Lonchura striata: one gene and its partner. The protein of the gene in region 2 purifies or fractionates together with the protein of the main gene of each other region. This does not show direct contact. Links are inferred from orthologs where the notes say so. Each region holds a gene or a part of one and is shown on either strand. Other genes may lie near its edges.

Region 1 (8,959 bases), on a different chromosome or scaffold from region 2:
GAGGAGAGAGCTCGATGTCTGGAGAAAATAGGAAGAGGAATGACCCGTGAAACCACATTTCTGCCTTCACCACTGGTGGCTTGCTCACACGGAGCAGTGACTCATCACGGCCGGAGCTGATCCTGCCGGCAGGAGAGGCAGCATCGCGGGGATAACCAGGAGAGAGGGCAGGTGGGGAGGGGAGGGGCTGCAGCCACTGCGTGTGCCTGGGGGTAGCGACAGCATCTTCCCCTGTGGTGCTGTTCGGCTCCAAGCTCTTCTAAATGGCTGGTGATCTGGTACCACGTCTGTGAGCCAAAGAGAGATGCTTCTCCCAGAAATCCCAACAATCTTCTTGGTGTATCAATTATATTTCAGTGCAGTCCCACTTCTGTTTCAGAATTAGTAAGTGCTTTGGAAAATGTCCTTTACTTCTTTTGAAGTACCATCATGCCTTTTGTTGCGACTAAAGTAATGGCTAAAAGCTGAGGGATGGCAGAAAATCAGAAATTTCTGAGAAAGGTCCTCAGGATTTGCCTCTGAGTCATCTCTATATTGGCAGGAAAAGCTGGCAAAAAAGAATAGCATCTCTGCAGGTTCTGAAACAGCCCCAGAATGAGGAGTCTGGGCCAGGTGGACACATCCAACCCCTAAGACATATTTCACTGGAATTTGACAGGGCTTAGATCAAAAGCTGTCATTGCAGTTCCGTGACTGGTGTAACACGACGACCTCCTTGAATGAGCTGCATGTGAGAGCAGCCCCCGGTGCTCCAGTAGCCATTCCAGCCCTGAGGAATGTCCCTGCCCTGCAGCTTCCACGCTGAACACCATAAGGCACAATAAGTGGATTAGCAAAACCTCTGGAAGAGGCAAAGAAGAAAGGACGCTGGGTCTTAAGCTGGTTTTGCATGTATTTACACAAATGACGTCCCCAGCTAGATGGCAACTGAGGTGAAATCTGGGCTATCCCTGCTGCCCTGGCTCAGCAGCTGCTGCAGCCTTCCTGGCAGGGCAGAGCCTGCTTTGTAGCTCGGGCAGACGTAGGGAGTCAGAGCAGATCGATGATGGCAGCGGGGACAGCCCACAGGAGGTGGTGGCTGTACAGCACCCACACTGTGGCTGCAGTGGGGAGGCTTTGGCTGCTGGGGGTGGTGCAGGCCCACCCTGGCATCCACAGGACACGTTCCAGACTCCTCACTCCATCCATGGCTTGGAGAGGCTCTTTTGTCACCTCTTGGGGTGACTGCTCCCAGTCCCACCTCCCTGTTGGGCACAGCACCGGGCAGGATTCATCTCTCCCATTGGTGAGATGGGGATTGCAATTATTCCTGGCCCTTGCTTGTGCCATCTGTCTGTTCCCTGAACATCCCTGCAGGATCTGTGTCTTAGCAGGTTAATTTAATAAGAGCCTGCTTTATTGTTGCTGGCTGCGGGCACAGCATAGAGCAGCTGAGTCCATCAACAGCACAGAGCTGCTCTGGCAGCAATCGAATCCTGCCCGGATGTTCATTTGGGAAGGTTGTTTTGCTGAGAAAGGGCAAACCCTCCTGGGGCAGCACCGAGGGCTGAGCCCTGCTCCTTTCTTCTTGGCAGGAGCCGTGGGGAAAGTGACAGCAGAGATTAAATCAGGCCTTTGACCCGGGATGTGCCGCACCTCCGGGGAGGGGATGGTGATAGTGAGGGAGTGGCAGAGGTGGCACTGGCAGGAGGTGCCCTGCACGGCTGGCTCAGGGCTTGGCCATTTATGGCAGAAGCAGCTCTTCCCATCCAGACTTTCAAAACCTTTTACATCACCAGCTATTTTTGTGGCTCAGGATATGTGGTAGGGCACAAGGCGGTGAAAGAGCTGTGCAAACTGTTTAATGAAGGGAATGACTTGTCTTAACGGTAACAAACAGCCTGGTGCACTTTGGGATTGGCCCTTTTTTCAGCTGTAGGCATCTATGCCCAGGTATAAAGTGCTGTGAGCTGGGAAATAAATCTTGGCAATCCAAATCAATACTGGGATTGATTTACGGAGGAGGGAAAAAAAATCCATTTTCCCAATCCTGTGTCCACCTGCTTGTTCTTCCCCTCAGCCCAAGAGCGAGGCGTTGCTGGCTAAAGTCAATTGCACAAAAATATATTTGGCTTTTCTCCCGCTGTGCTCTTTGCCCCTTCCTCTCCCGCAGTCATTCCTCCACCCATCACAAACATAATGGACCAGCAGTGCCACAAAGACGTGCACATAATGAACCTAAGTGACCGTGTAATCCTATTATTGTCACCCTCACCCTCCCTTGCTCCTTTGCTCCCTCCCCCCCGTTTGTCACTGTCACCGATTGTGTCATGGTTAAAATTAGATGGGAAGCTCCTCTGGGAGCACTGCGGCTTTCCTTTGTCCCGAGCACCCTGAGTGCATTAAGGTACTTCGCAACAACTCGTGATTTCTAATGGGGTTAAAGTAGGAGGCAGCCTGTTTTAATGCTCACCTTTTTACATTTTCGAGCTGATTCACCAGCCACATGAAAATCTTCCAGCCAGGCACGTCTGCCTCCTGCCAGCAATTCACTTGACAACACAATTCTGGAGGCAACGGTGAAGGAAGGCAAGGGCTTTTTACTTATATTTGATAAAGAAGAGTGAGTCAAATTTGGTGTAACATAAGTAAGATTTGTTCTGGAGGATAAAAGTCCTCATCCTCATTGACCTTTTCCCATAATGGACCTGTTGTCTTTATGGAAAGCAAGTGAACAAAATAAAGCTGTTTGTGAAAACAGCCACAAGCAGAGTCACCTCCTCAGTACCTTTGGATGGTTTTAGCCGCCTTGACCAGGCACCTCTCTATGGCTGCTGGAAACCCAGGATGGACACAACGCAGCAGCTGTGTGTGCCCTGGACTGGCAATCACACAGGTGATGCAAAGGGGAAAGGAACAAATCCAGCACTTCACCACGTGCCTGCTGAAATCCTGCAGGGAGCAGCAGAACAAACGTGTTTGTACTGGAGGGCAGCTGCTCCTACAGGTGGGAATCATCGCGTGGGTCTGGAGTGACTGGGGGGGTTTATTTTAGGGAGAAAACAGACGGGGATTCCTTCAGTCGGTTCCTCCTGCCAAGGGGAGTTCCAGGGCAGGTGGCGCTGGTGCCGTGCTGTCCCTGCTGACCCTACTGTCACCTGCTGACCCCTGCTGTCACCTGCTGACCCTGCTGTCACCTGCTGACCCCTGCTGACCCTGCTGTCACCTGCTGACCCTGCTGACCCTGCTGTCACCTGCTGACCCTGCTGTCACCTGCTGACCCCTGGTGTCATCTGCTGTCACCTGCTGACCCTGCTGTCACCTGCTGTCCCCTGCTGACCCTGCTGTCACCTGCTGACCCTGCTGTCACCTGCTGTCCCCTGCTGTCACCTGCTGACCCCTGGTGTCACCTGCTGACCCCTGGTGTCCCTGCTGACCCTGCTGTCACCTGCTGACCCCTGCTGACCCCTGCTGTCCCCTGCTGTCCCCTGCTGTCACCTGCTGTCACCTGCTGACCCCTGGTGTCATCTGCTGTCACCTGCTGACCCCTGCTGACCCTGCTGTCCCCTGCTGTCACCTGCTGTCCCCTGCTGTCACTACTGACCCCTGCCCTGAGCCCAGCCCGGCCGGGAGCTCCGCCGCTCCTCCCTGGGGGTTTCAGAGCCGGGCAGTGAGCCCTGTGCCAGCTGCACCAGTGCAAGGACACGGGGCAGATCTTGCCTGACCTTGCGTACCTCTAGCTGTGACCTGGAGGCAGCAGCCTGCAGAGTCAGGAATGCTTTGGGCTGGGAAGGATTTAAAGGGGATCTCGTGTCACCCCGGCCTCGGACACTGCAGGACTTGGGGCGGCTCCTCTGGGCAGCCTGTGCGAGGGCCGCACCGCCCGACAGGGACGATTTTATTCCCAATAGCTGATCTGAACTTGCACTCTCTCAGTCTGAACCCATTCCCCCTTTTCTGTCGCGACATGTATTTGTGAACATGTAAACATCCCTCTCTGTCTTTCCTGTAAATTCCCTTCAGGCACTGGCAGGGGCAATTAGGTCACCGCGCAGCTTTCTCATCTCCAGGCTGAACAATCCCAGTCCCAACCTTTCCTCATATCAGAGGAGCTCCATCCCTCTGGTGACTTGGTGGCCCTCTTGTCACCAGCCCAGCGGGCTGCCAGGGATGAAGAACCGCGGTGCCGGTGCCACAGCCCGGGTCCCCTCCCCCGCGGGAAGCTGAGAGGAGTTTGTTAAGGAGTTTGTTCAAGTTATCGAGTACCGAGCAGGAGCTCGTGGAGGGACAACGCGGCGCTCCCAGAGCCGCCCTTCAGGTTCGGGACGGCGGCCGCCATCTTGGCGCCGCCATCTTGGGGGCGGGCAGGGACAGCGCCCCGGTGCCACACCCAAACCTGTCCCCCTGCACAGCACAGTGCCTCGGTGCCATATCCAAAACTGTCCCCCTGCACAACGGTGCCACACCCAAACCTGTCCCCCCGCACAGCACAGTGCCTCGGTGCTACAGTCAAACCTGTCCCCCGGCACAGCGCGGGTGCCTCGATGCCACACCCAAACCTGTCCCCCAGCACAGCACACTGCCTCGGTGTTGCACCCAAACCTGTCCCCAGCACAGCACATTGCCTCGGTGCCACACCCAAACCTGTCCCCAGCACAGCACATTGCCTCGGTGCCACACGCAAACCTGTCCCCCGGCACAGCGCGGGTGCCTCGGTGCCACACTCAAACCTGTCCCCCGGCGCAGTCCGGGCGGGCCGTGACGCAGCACGCCGGAAGTGAGCGCAGGCGGCGGGGCGGGGCGGCCTCCGGTGTCCCAGCGAAACCCTTCCGGGCGGGCGGGTCCCGCGGCGATGGCGGGAGCGCGGCGCTGAGGCAGCGAGCGGGGCCGGGGCCGCGCCGGGCGCTGACGGGGTCTGGCTGCCCCCGGGACGGCGCGGGAGCAGCGGGGCCTCGCCCTTCACGGGAGGCGGGCCGGGGCTATGCGAGGGCCGCGGTGCCGCCTGCCCTAGGCCGGGCCCGGCGCGGAGCGGCCAGCGGGGCCCGATGCGGGAGTACAAGGTGGTGGTGCTGGGCAGCGGGGGGGTGGGGAAGTCCGCCCTGACGGTGCAGTTCGTCACCGGGACCTTCATCGAGAAGTACGACCCCACCATCGAGGACTTCTACCGCAAGGAGATCGAGGTGGACTCGTCGCCCTCGGTGCTGGAGATCCTGGACACGGCGGGCACCGAGCAGTTCGCCTCCATGCGCGACCTCTACATCAAGAACGGGCAGGGATTCATCCTCGTCTACAGCCTGGTCAACCAGCAGTCCTTCCAGGTAACCGAGCCCGGCGTCCCCTCCTCGCACGGAGCCGGCCCTGCCCGGGCCGAGCAGGAAGTTTTAGGGGTAGCCACGTGTGCGTGGCAGCGCTTTATCTCCCAAGGGCCGAAAGTGTAAATGCCCAGCTTGAAAGCGCGTTTACCAGCCCTGCTTCCCGGTGGAAAACTGCTTGCTTTGCAGGTACTTATCAGGGTGCCACCATTGTTAAGTCCCACGCAGTGCTGGAGAACAATGCCTAGCTCCCACTTCCCCAACAGAAATCTCTTGGCAATCCCCTTTTGTGAAGAAATCACTCGATATTAAAACTGAGACTTCCCCTTCCAACCCCCTCTCCTTCCTAAAAGGCATGTTTCTGCAGTTGCTCCTGAAGAGAGTCTCATTGTTCTACAGTTGTGACTTGTTAAGTGAGCTGCTATTTTCCGCTCCCTGCCCCCAAAATATATTCCTGTCCAGCACGAGCTCGATGCTCTCCCAGCGTAGGTGGAGTACTGGAGAGCAGAACTAGCTATACACGGTAATTTGTGGTTCTGGATTTGATTTCTACTATTAAAACTCTCCAAAAAAAGGAACTGTCTCAGCCAGTAATTGGTCTAAGCTGCCTGTAGAAACGGGGCTTTGTTTTTGGGCAGTAAGTGAGTTTAGCAGCACTCCGTGCAGCTTGGGAATTTGCAGCTCCTGCCTTGGCTTGGGCTGCTGAGCTGGGTGTGTTCCAGCTGCTTGGCAAGACCTTCCACACCCCCACTGTTTGCTTCTGCTGAAGGCTAAACCTTATCTCAGCAGAGGCCTCGAAACAACCCTGTGCGAGCTGAAGACACGCTTATCTCTAGAAAACAACAGCACTGACATTGGGATGCTTCTGCTCTCATTTTCACTGATTTTTGGGTTCCAGCGAGCCCTCATTATTTGAGAAATGCATGTGCAGTAATCTTGTTAATATTTAATTATTCCCGTCTGTCTGTAGTGTTTGCTCTGAAGGCTGTAGGTGTAAACCTCTCTGCAGTTCTTTGCACGGTGGTAACTTCAAACGCTGGGATTGCTTTGTCTCAGAACTATGCAAGAATTTGTAGTACCGATAGCAACTTAAAACACTCAGGGGGCAGAGGAGGCTGACTCAGACTTTCAAGTGTAAACGCCCCGTGTCGGCTCAGACTTGAATAAATGCATCTCTAGGTAATAAAATCTCTTTACAGCATCTAATTTGGTTACTTACATGTGATTAAATGTGTTCACAATGAATTATTCTAAGCATTCCAGGACTGAGAAGGCTTTATTTAAATTGATGGTTTTCTCAAGCTGTAAACTAAGCACAAACTTCCTAAATGGTTGTGTAATGGCACGCCCCTGCTAGGGTTACAGGTCGTTAGACTTGAGACAACTTCTTCAGAAAGGTGAAACCAGCCTTCAGAGCAGCAGTACCGTGTCCTCCTCTGGCTGAGAGCACAGCAGTCACTTTCTGTTGGTTTATGCACATAAATTCTTTAAAGTGTGCATGCTTTTATATGAAAGAAGAAGTAGTTTAGTGATAGGTGTTAAATTTTCTCAGAATTCTAGATCTGCGTGACTGTGAGTTTAAAAAGTCTTCTGGTGTATTTTTAATGTCCAGTTGCACGTGAGGGTTACTAAAATGTGTTCCTACAGTGGTTCTGTAGCAATTCCATGTGATTCCTTGCATGCACTAACCAGCTGGATTGTTTGACCAGGATATCAAGCCGATGAGGGACCAGATTGTCCGGGTGAAGAGATACGAGAAAGTTCCTCTGATCCTGGTGGGGAATAAAGTGGATCTGGAGTCGGAGAGGGAAGTCCTATCTGCAGAAGGCAGAGCCCTGGCTCAGGAGTGGGGCTGTCCCTTCATGGAGACGTCAGCCAAGAGCAAAACAATGGTGGATGAACTGTTTGCTGAGATCGTCAGGCAAATGAACTATGCCTCCCTGCCTGAAAAGCAAGATCAGTGTTGTACAACTTGCATCGTCCAGTGAGAGATATTAAGAAAAACCTCAACCATGGCCATACAGAGCAGGTTGGTGGAACATAACTAACTGAGGTGCCTAAACATGGTGTTTCAGTAAGAGATAAAGGGACAGGGAGTGTAAAATGAGGCAGCCTCCCTCCAAAAGATGGGAGATTGTGCACATGATTGAGTCAAATGGACTTCTTGCGTTACCTCAGTAGGGTTAGTCAGGGAAAGCTGCATTTGCTTGCAGTAATTTTACAATGACACAAAATGAGTGATCTCATCTGCACCTATTTTGACTGTCAGTGCTGTATTTGATGCTGTGTTATTCTGCATAAGTGCTTTGTGATGTTGCAGTGGGTTTATTCTTGTAGCTGGTATCTCAGTTATTTTCCAGTAATGGGAGTTACCTTGGAGTTCAATGGGATTATTGTGACCAAGTTTCCCAGTAGTTTTACTGAGAAGACTTTGAGCTTGTTTAAAAGATATAAAGTTCTGTAGCACAGAAACTGATAGTACCCTTCTGCCTTATCAGTGGAATAAGTTTCTTTTGCAAGAGAACCACCCTGAGTGGTGAGAAGTGGCTCAAAGCCCACATGCAACAGTCAAGGGCATGCACAAAGTGTTCTTCATCTCAAATCTCCAGAGCAGAGAACACACTGTAAAATGGCTTCCCATGCACAGCTCTCCTTTTCCAGTGACTCAAAAGAGGTGTGATGAGAGTCCAGCGTTCAGAGGGCCCTCTGTAAAGTTTCCCCTGTGTCAGGTGTTGCTTTGATTTTTATTTTTTTCCCCTCCAGGACAGCTGCCTTTGGCCTTTCACATGTGTGGTCTTTTTTTCATCACCTGTGTGCATAGGTCTGTCCCTCCCCAATGTGCATTCCCACTCCTGTTTCCCCTGTAGCTGTTGCAGGTCTTGTTTCACCTCTGGCTCGAATCCATGTGACTGCAAAGCAGGGTTGGTGTGCTCTGTGTGGAGCCAGCTGCTCCCTCAGACCTCCAGTTGTCTGTTGGACCTTTGCAAACAACTCCGAGAGCAAGTGCAGGAATGAGGGATGATGTGGAAACTCAGGGGAAGGAACTGCCCCTCCTGACAGCTGCACTGCTGCAGGCTCAGACTCCCACTGCCACATTAGTAACTTGCTTAACTCAAAGGAGCTTTTTGTGCCTGAGTGACAACAGGGAAAATAGGTTATTACTGGAAGCTTTGGACCATGTATCCTCTTTAATCTGGAGTGCAAGGTCAGAGTGAAGTCTCAAAGCTTCTCTTTGAGATTGTTATCAGGTGCTTTGTAAATATCAAGTTTTAGGTGCTCATGGCTCTAGCACTGTCATGCTACAGATAATACATGATGTTTTTATCTCCAGTTCTGTGAAATTAGGAAGGGCTGCTGTCACTGTGTAAGAGGTGTGTGTAAGTTTGAGATTTGCTTGTTGAAAGGTGAGCTTGTTTTGGAGCACAGGAAAATTCAAATAAAGTCTCTCATTGTGTGGGAACATCATTGTACATTAATCACACCTGCAGATTCTATGGAGTTCTAGGAAAAAATGAATCTAAGAAATTAATACTTAAAAAAAAAATGAGTGCTGCAGGGATAATATCCTGAATTGTGTATAGTAATGCAATGTTGCAGCTATTTCTAAAGCAGCTTCACAAACAAGATTATGTGGACTAGAAGTATCATGCCAAAGGATATGGCAATCC
Region 2 (9,470 bases):
AGTTCCAACTCCTTTGTCACAGGCAGAAACACTTTACACTAGACCAGGCTGTACAAAGTCCCATCCAACCCAGCCTTGAACACTTGCAGGGATGGGGCATCCACAAGTTCTCTGGGCAACTTGTTCCTGTAGGCCACCAACCTCGCAGTTAAGGATTTCTTCCCAATACCTAATCTAAACCTACTCTCAGTTTAAAGCCATTATCCCAATTCCATCACAGCAATAGAAAACTTAGTATTTTTACCATCTCACCACTGAGGTCTCAGGCCCACAGTAACACTCCACATAAGCCAATGCATCAAATGCATAAAATGCAGAGTAACTCGACTTGCATTTAGGTGCCAAACATTCAAGGGCTACCCTCACATTTCATACATGTATAAACATCTACACACCTACATATAGCTAAATAAATAGCTAAGGTAGAACTAGCTACAGAAATATCACCAGCCAGATAGATGAGCTATTTCCAGCTAGCTCAGCTAAGGCAAAGGGGAGAAAAACAGGACTATTTTCTGCTTTTCAACAGGTTGGCGCACTCCCCTTCCCAGCGCTGCTGGAAAGCTGACTCCCCAGCCAGGCAAGCGACCTTCGGCATCATCGGCGGGTGTATGAGCTAGACAAAGAGATAACGTCATGGCCTCTGCGCTCCCTGCGTGTCCTCCCGCAGTGGCAGGTAGCCAGCCAATCCCGCTCCCGGGTGACATCATCGCTGATGCCTCTACACGAATGTGGAAGTACATCAAACTACATCTCGGAGCTCGGCTCCTCAAAAGCAACCTACACCCCACCCCCCAGCCCCTTGGGATGACAGACCGCTAACAAGGGAAATAAAACCATCCAGGAAGAGAGATTTCAAGAAGTGGTTGCTGGGTACAAGTAAAGCAGAAGGCAACAAGCAAACATGGCATAAACACGTTTTTCCCTTGGTTATGCAGTTCCCATGAAAGCCCTCAAAACATACACATACAGTCTCATCGTTGGGCATCCCTGGAGCATTTTTCCTAGCAAAAAAAGTGCCCAAGAAAAGGTTTGGGATTTTTGTTTTGTTTTGTTTTTTGCAACAACTTTTGCAACAACTGATTTTTAATTTTTTTTTTACATAATTTCATTACTTAAAAAAAAAAAATGCTTATCACAGAAAGAAAGTTTTTTTGTTTGGTATTATTTGTTTACATACAGCCCTGTTAGGTGTCCACATTATCAGTGTATGTACACAAATGTAGACAAATACCTAAGAAGAAGCAGTGCCAACCCAAACTTAAACACCTGTCAATCCATTACTGTCCAGCAGGTTCTATAGCAAGAAAAAAGGTTGCCTGTTGCTCCCCATTATCACAGTGACACTGATGACATCAGGTGTTCAACTCTTCCAAGACAATAAATGCATGTGCCCAGTTTCATTTCTAATACTAACTATTCTGGAAGAGCTCTACCTTACCTAAAGAAAACTAAGTTTAACATTTCTATTGTCAAGACTGTTAAACTAAGGAGAACTTTGCTCATTATTCAAAAGCATTAACAAGTACACTGAGAAACAATACACTAAATTGCAATAATTAACAGGAGAGTTTCAACTCACACATTCACACCCCATTATTTTTCTTTTTTTTTAATAAGGGTTCAGATGATGCAAGCTCTGGGAGCAAAGGATTACAGAAAAAAGTTGTGTCCTTTCAAATGGCATAAAAAAATTAAATAGTCGAGGTTGTGTCAAAGCTTTTACTTATCTTCCCCGTCTCCTGTGGCCCTTTGAGCCACATTCTTTTTCCCACCTTTGTACCAACAGCAGCAGTCTGGCTATTCCAGCTCAAGTCTTAAAAAGCAACTAATACACTGCACAGGCAGACCAATTCTCCATCAGGAAGGCTGAGGTTCACGCCCTCAAAACAAACTGACATGTGTTTCATTTGCAGAAGAGGCAGCAAAGCACTTTATTTACTGGAGCATTAGTTACCGGAGCTGCAAGCAGCAGTATCTTGCCATCAGGGAAACGCGGACCAATTACAGTCCCTTGTTTATAAGCAAAAAGAAAAACAACAACAACAACAAAAAAACAACCAAAAAACAAACAAGCAACTAAGCATCTTCATCTCTCCTTCTCTCTCCAAATGCATCTTGCATTTCTACAGTTTAAGGCTAGAGCCTTCAATCTTTAGCCAAGTATTAAGTCTGTGCAAATAATTAGTCCTCCTGGTAGCTAGCACTCACTGCAAAATCATGCAAGCTCAAGATTTGTTTGTTCCACTGACTGCACACTAAAGGGTAAAAAAAGAAAAAAAGAAAAAAGTAGGCTAGTTTCACACCCACATGGGCACTCTCTGATTTCTATTTTTTAAAGTCATACACTTGTCAAACAGGTTATTCTGGGAATTCTGATTTCCACAAAATAAACTTCTCTGCTTTGGTCACTTATTATTGTCACTCTGCACCCCTCATCTCTGCACAGCCCATCAGATGCACACACCCCCAACTCCAGAGCTTCAACACTCACAAGGAAACCGGGTGACAGTTTTAATTATGGCAAATGTCTTTGTCTAAAGTCACTGCAGCAGCAGCAACTTCTATAAGGATTTCCAGCAGCAAAGCTGAATAAGCCTGTGGACGTGTTTGTATAACCGAGCCAGACTCTGACAGCGTCCACTTGGTTTGGTCATTTCTCTGAAAGGAGCACAGAGAAGAATAAGGACAATAAAGGCGTATTTCATCATTACAGGATGGGTACTTGGGAGAGTAATTTGTACCCGTCTAAAAAAGCAGAAGCCAAGAGGCTGACAAACTTGACAAGGCCAGCAACAATGACAAGGGCAACACTTCTACCACCCCTCACTGTTCCGGTTGCCAGTGCGGGTGGCTCGCCTTCAGCCGTGTGCTCAGCCCGGCGCAGACACCGGGTACCCTCTGGAAGATCGGCAACAATAAAAGGAGAAGAAATTCTGACACAAACCTTGTAGACTTGCCCGTACGTGCCATTGCCAACCACTTCCACCAGTTCAAAAATCCCAGCGGGGTCCTAGGGGGAGGAAGGGGCAGAAGGGGCGGGGGAGGAAAGGGGAGAAGAGAAGTGGGGTTACATTTTTGTTCAGGCGATGGCTGCTGGCAGAGCCCAGCCAGCGAACCCGGCTGCTGGCGGCGTGCAGCTGTTGCGCCCTGTTTTTCCACGCACATGCCAATACATGCAAACAAAGGAAAAGCAGCCCAGGGCCGCGGTCCCCCGCCCGCCCCCGCGGGAGGGCTCCCCCCATGCGGCCGCGGCCCCCGCGCCCGGCACCGGCCCCGGGCCCGGCCGCTCCCACCCCACCGGCCGCGCAGCCCCGGCAAGGGGCGCGCCGACCCCGGGGGGCCCCCGCCCCGGCCCCCGGCACCGGCACTCACCCGCAGGGAGGAAAGGTCGATATCCACCAGACTTTTTGCAGGAGAATCGTTCGCCATTTTCCCGTCTCTTCTTTTTTTTTTTTTTTTTTCTTTAAATATTTTTTTCTTCTCTGTTAAATAATAGCGAGGCCGCTCCCCCCTCCCTGGAGGAGCTGTGAATTGCGCGGAGCTCCGCTCCTCTCCTCCCTTCCGCCCTTCTTCACTCCAGCCCCGCTGGGTTGAAACTCTTCAGCATTGGGAGGGGTTGGCGGGGGGGGGGATGATGGATAGATAGATGGATGGTGGGAGGAGGAGGGAAAGGGAGGTGAAGGAAGGGAAGGAAGAAGGAGAAGGGGTGCTGCGGTTTGTCCGTCCGTCCGTCTCCCCGCGCTGCAGTGCGGGGCTGGATCCCCCCGAGGATCCCGGCCGGCCGGTCGGTGGCTGGGCGGGTGAGTCGGTGGGTGCCCGCGCGTCCCCGGCGGCAGCGGGCTCACACCATGTCGCGGCGGCGGCGGCAGGAGCGGCGCCGGTGCCGGCAGCCTCTGGCAGCCTCACGATGCGCCCCGCTCCCTGGCATGGCACGGCACGGCTCGGCCCGGCCGGCGGCGCTCACGCCGGGAGCCGGCAGTGGCAGCCGCGGCCCCGCTCTCGCATGGGGGGGCGGCTCACGCCCAGCGCCGCGGCGGAGCCCCCGCCGCCTCCGAGCCCTCCCCGCGGCGCTGCCCTCGCATCAAACGGCGCCGGGCACCGGCGGGCAGCGGCTGCGCGTCCCGGCGGCGGCGGGGCAGGGGCGCGGGGCTGGAGCGGGGTGCTGCGAGCCAGACAAAGATAGCCGGGGAGGAGGAGGAGGAGGAGGAGAAGGAGGAGGAGAAAAAATATACTGCGAGCGGAGAGAGAGAGAGAGAAGAGAACAGCTCCCCCTTCCCTTCTCCAACAGGAAAAACCGGCGGAAACGCGCCCGCACCAGAGCACTGCTGGGTAAACTCGCGGGGAGAGAGAAAGAGAGAGGGAGGGAGCCAGCGGGCGGGGAGGGAACCGGCCGCGCAGCCTGCCCGCCCCGCCGCCCACAATAGCCCCGCGGGGCGGGGGCGACCCCGGGCGGCCCTTCCCCGCCGCACCGGCGCTGGGCCCCGCCCGCGGGAGCCCCACGCGTGCCCGGGCCCGGGGCAAGGACGGAGCCCTGCAGCCCCCGCCGCGCCTCTGCGGGACAGCGCGCTCCGTGGGGGCCTGTCACGGCTCGTATGCACCGTGTGGTGGGGATATTTTCCCATCCCCGGTGAGATGACCAGCAAAATGTCACAGTTCCCCCCTGCCTCGAGATCCCAGGCCCACAGGAAAAAAAACATTATGTCTCATGAAGAGATTTCTACAGAAAGACGGCCAAATCCTGGCCCACAGAACCAGACCCATCTCTCATATTTTAACACATCGTTTACTGACAGAGCTGTCTCAGGCCCCCTTCCCGCCCAGAAGAATCCTCTAGCAGAATTTGAATCGTGGAAAAATCTCATTAACCTCACTTGAGCAAGACACATCAGGCAGTTTGACACAAGTGTAAACCTTGGCAGGATTTGTTTCTCATTGAAGTTTTTTATCACACTGATATGGCAAAAGTGTTACCTGCTTGCAAGAGGTCGAGTTTCCTGTGGGAATCGGGGTTTTCCTGTCTTCTAATTTAACCACAAAATTACATATACATAGCTATAAGTATTACAGAAACATACTTTTGAAACAAAGCAAACCTGTTGAGCAGAAAGTTTAAGGATAAATTACCATAACAGTTTAATGGCATACTTCATTTTCACTTTAAGTGTAGATACAAAGAAAGGAAACTTCAGCCTAGACCAGGAAACTTCATTCTCTGTACAGGAACCTATAGTTAGGAAAAGGCAAGTAATTTCAAATGTATTTGATGCTGTGTCTGCCCAAGTGCATGCACAGGAGTAAGATCAAGTCTAGAGATGCAGTAGGTTTTGAAAAGTGTATTTCTACAAAGATTTATTATCATTGGTCTGGTTTGCATTACATGGTAACTCAGCCTTTTTATGTGTAAGGGAAACCTTGGTAGGTCAGATCCATTTCCTGTCTGTCCCAGCATCCATCTCCAGATTTAGCCAGTAGTAGACACTGAGAGAAGATCACAGGGATACTTTAACCATCCAGTAATACTTCCCTGGCTTATTTTACCAACTCTCTACAGCTCAAGGAGCTCTTTAGCAGCATTTGGTGTCCCTGCATTTTGTTTTTTTTAATTGTGTTTTCCTTCCATTAGATTGGCTGTTTACTTTCTGGATTCATACATGCTTGTGGCTCTCGCAGTGTCCTTTGGCAGGGAGTTCCAAAGGTGAGCTAACATGTTGTGTGGAGAGCACCTTTTGCTAAACTAAAAAAAAAATATCCTGCTGGTTCTTGTTTTGGAAGAGACACCAATCGTTTCCTATTCATTTTCTTTATTATGTTCATTTTTTAGACTTCTGGTGTGTTTTCCCCTTGGTTTTTGCCAGCTAGTAAGTTCTGGTCTTTTTAGTGATACCACAAATGGAACTCATTCTATATTTGTCCTTCATTGAACCATTTCTAATACCTTCCTTTTTGACATGGGTAAACAGATTTCCATCTCATGTTCATGCTGGCTTCCCCGTGCAGCATCATTGTGATGTCCTCGTTTCTAATCCGCTCCTGATCCTTCCCTTCTTCACTGTTGGGTATGAATATGACATTCCTGTGGCACATGCCTATTATAACTCCAGGATCCCCTTCTGTAATGTTAATACCACCTCAGAGACTGTTGTTGTGCATTTCTGAATGCTGAAAGATTTTCAGGCCCAAATTCTGAATTCTGAGTTTTCCAAACCCAGGACGTAACAACTTCCTTGTGCCTCTGAAAAGTACAGGCCAGGATTTTAGAGATGAGGATCTGAGCCCATATACACATTTTCACCATTCATATTTTCACCAACAGATGTCATTTCACCAGACCTCTGATGTGGCTCCACCACAGTGTTCCCTCTCTGCTTTAAGTTTTTATTTTATTAGAGTGAGTTCAGTTCTTTGGCATGTTTTTGTATTACACTAAAGACTGCTAAAGTGCTAGCAACAAGATTGTGAATTCTTGAAAAGTAAGCCATCCTCTATCTTTAGGGGAAAAAATAGTTTTCATAAAGCAGTAAATGCTTTATGAAGAGAGCTTCCTGCTAGTTCCCAGAGTGAAGCACCACGATGCCTCAGCTTCCTTTTTCTTCTACTCAAGTGAAGGGATGAAAAGCTTGCTTTTTTGAGGAAGAAGCCTCTTCAGCTGTGGCCAAAACCACTCTCTTCACATGTTCATCATGCTCTTCACCAGCTCAGTGTACATAACCAGTTTGAAAGTCCAAAGGTTGAAAGACCAAACCTAAAACCACTGGAAAGAAGAAGAGCAATCTGTTTTAACTCTTCCTCATAGTGAAACCAGCAATGCTGAAGTGAGACAGAGTGAGACAGCCATCAAAAATCATAACGAAGACTAAATGCAAGGAAATGCATTTTCAACCCTGTGGATCGTCTCCCCACAGAGCACACATGGTTTTTCTAATGACAAACTTCAGAAGATTTATCAAAATATCTGAGTCCACTGGGGAGCAAAGCAGGAGAAAGCTGGGACCTGTGTGCTGCTTTCCATCACCCTCAGACACAGTTGCACCCATTCCTGCTCAAAGTGCTCATAGCAGTGAAGGGAACAGAGGAGTTGAAGCTCCCTGAGCAGTTTCAGTATCCCTGAAAGAGGGGTCCTGAGCTTCCCTTTCTCTGACCATTTATTCCTATTGAATGGTACCCTTGTGTGGATATGAGCATTCCTACAGCTACATAGTGAGCCAGGACTCATAGCAAAGCTAACCCACAAAAGGAAAATAACTTCTAATGTTATTATTGATCAATTCCTTGGGCTGGTTCATCACGTGTCTCCTTGAGCTGATGTGTTAACAAAAGGGAAACCGAGGGGTCAGAAACTAAGTGGAGGGCAGGAACTGTGACCACAGCATTGCCTCTTGGTTGCGGCTGTGGCTTAAGCCAATTTCAACTCTCAGTGGACCCATAGGGGTAAAACTAGAGAAACTTCCTTCCTTACTGGAAGAGACACTGTGGGAGTGATGGGAACTCAACATTTATGTTGTAGCCACAAAAGAAATTCCTTGCCCTCTATTTTTTTTCAAGTTATTTGAAATTGTCTTTGTTCTATAATTTTCCACTTCTAATATGCCAGGGCTCTAATCACTGACCAGAGATGCAGAGGTCATCAACTGCACTAACTTTTTATGAGCTTAATCATCAACAGTATTCAAGAAGATGAGTAAAGAGACAGGAAGTTCTGAATTTTCATTTTGTTCTACTACTGATTCATCCTATAGCCTTGGGGCATCTCATTTCCTGCTTCCACTCTCGTTCTCTATGTGGAAAATGGGAGTGATTTTGACCTCCTTTATAGTGTGAAGTATTAGACATGTACCCTGTCATACTCTGGGGAAATTGTTCTCTCCTTGGCTGAAACAATCCCTGAGGGAGGCTCAAGCTAGGGTGATAAGTAACAGAGGACAGGGTAGTGAGTGGGGCTGAGTCAGGCTTTGCATAGTCCAGCTCTCCTGCTGCACATGGAGCAGAAGGAGGCTGGGAGACTTTTCCTCATGCTATTTATTGCAACACATACTGGGAGTAGATCAGTTACAAAAGGATGCCATACAATCAGCCTCCCTCTAGCTTAGGCTCCTCTCCTCCTCTGCTGTTTCCACCACCCCTATCTCACACCTCCATGTGAAAGCTGCTCTGTGTGATCTCTGCAGGCACACCCAGGTTTTCTCATGCTGCATCTTTACAATGTCATATGGGGTGGACATGTTCCTGCAGCTCTGATTGCCCAGTTGCGCACACACTGCTGCTGGTGACATCCTGCTGCTTCCCGCTCCTCAGGATGCTGCACTGCCTCCCACACTGATGGGTTTCCCTCATTCCAGCATGCAGGAATCAGGCTCAGGCACATAGCCGGGCCCAAGCTTGGGGATGCACATGTAGATGATGATGTAGGTGACATGAAGATGCACAGGGCCAGAAAGGAGCAGCTTTCCACCAGCTGTACTCTTTGAGGCCATCACTGCCCACACCCTGGCTGGCTTCCTCTGTTAGCATTTTGGGGACTGGATTGAAAGGACTCCTGAAATACAGGGGATGTCTAAATATAGCAATCCTGCTAGTGCAGGAAGAGTGGCAAAGTGAGTCAGAGCCTTTCCACAGCTGCTCGGTACCATGCAGGGAGGCACAGTGCAGTCAGCACTGTCAGCACTTTGGAGGTGCCCACCTTTCTCCATCCCCTGCCAGGCTTCACATCTGTGCTGTTTTTTCAGCTGTGCTGGTATGGCTTCTCTGTATTGTGGTTTGGTAGCTAGACTGATCTTAGCAAAAAGGAATACACCATTTTTATTTTTTTGCAAGTTTTGCTTTACCTCCCATTAATGCCCTGCTTTAAATGAGTGGTAGGCAATTTGGTGAGAGTGAGAATTTCTCACGTTGTTATTGCATAGAGATCTAGGTACCACAAAACCATGTCCTGAAAATAATTTTGGGAAGAATTACCTCAAATGGCACTGCAGAATAGCCTAAGGGGAAAAGTTAATCTTAGTCCTATAATAATTAATATCACACTTGTGCAGTAGTGGAGCACCCAGCATTTTTTATTTAATCCAGATTACAAATGAGCATATGCAAATTTTCATATGAAAATAACATAATACAATTTTTATGCCATTTGTTTATGCTGGTTGTGATGAAGTAAGATGGTACCTGGTCCATTTAAAGTCATAGGCCATGAGAAGCAGATGGCTGAAATGGTATGAAGTTTGCTGGGACAACATGCTTCCAGAGAAATCTGAACAAATCTAAACCAGCAGAGTGAAGTTCAGAAATTTGCATCACCTAGCTGGGGTATTTTGAATCTGACTCTGAACATGCTCACATAGGATTTGCATCCATGGAGCCATAGTCTCTGTGAGGAGACTGCTTCTGCACAGAAGAAAGAGTGATTTCATGTTGCCACACTGTTTTCATTGACACCACATCCCTGACTGATCTACTCAGACTGAACTCACAGT

Evidence for each region.
Region 1: the proteins of MAP4K4 (region 2) and RAP2C purify together in Homo sapiens (affinity purification with mass spectrometry; 3 studies listed by BioGRID and IntAct, counting the BioPlex papers as one, with this or other methods). This does not show direct contact. The link is inferred for Lonchura striata from reciprocal best matches to the Homo sapiens genes MAP4K4 and RAP2C.

Annotation. Positions count from the first base shown.
Region 1 is NC_134616.1:7,565,414-7,574,372, forward strand, and holds the start of RAP2C (ras-related protein Rap-2c), read left to right. Parts: upstream 1-5,004; 5' UTR 5,005-5,024; coding exon 5,025-5,297; intron 5,298-7,000; coding exon 7,001-7,279; 3' UTR 7,280-7,320; intron 7,321-8,959. UniProt on the Homo sapiens protein: Small GTP-binding protein which cycles between a GDP-bound inactive and a GTP-bound active form. May play a role in cytoskeletal rearrangements and regulate cell spreading through activation of the effector TNIK.
Region 2 is NC_134604.1:87,602,894-87,612,363, reverse strand, and holds the start of MAP4K4 (mitogen-activated protein kinase kinase kinase kinase 4), read right to left. Parts: upstream 4,011-9,470; 5' UTR 3,433-4,010; coding exon 3,376-3,432; intron 3,014-3,375; coding exon 2,948-3,013; intron 1-2,947.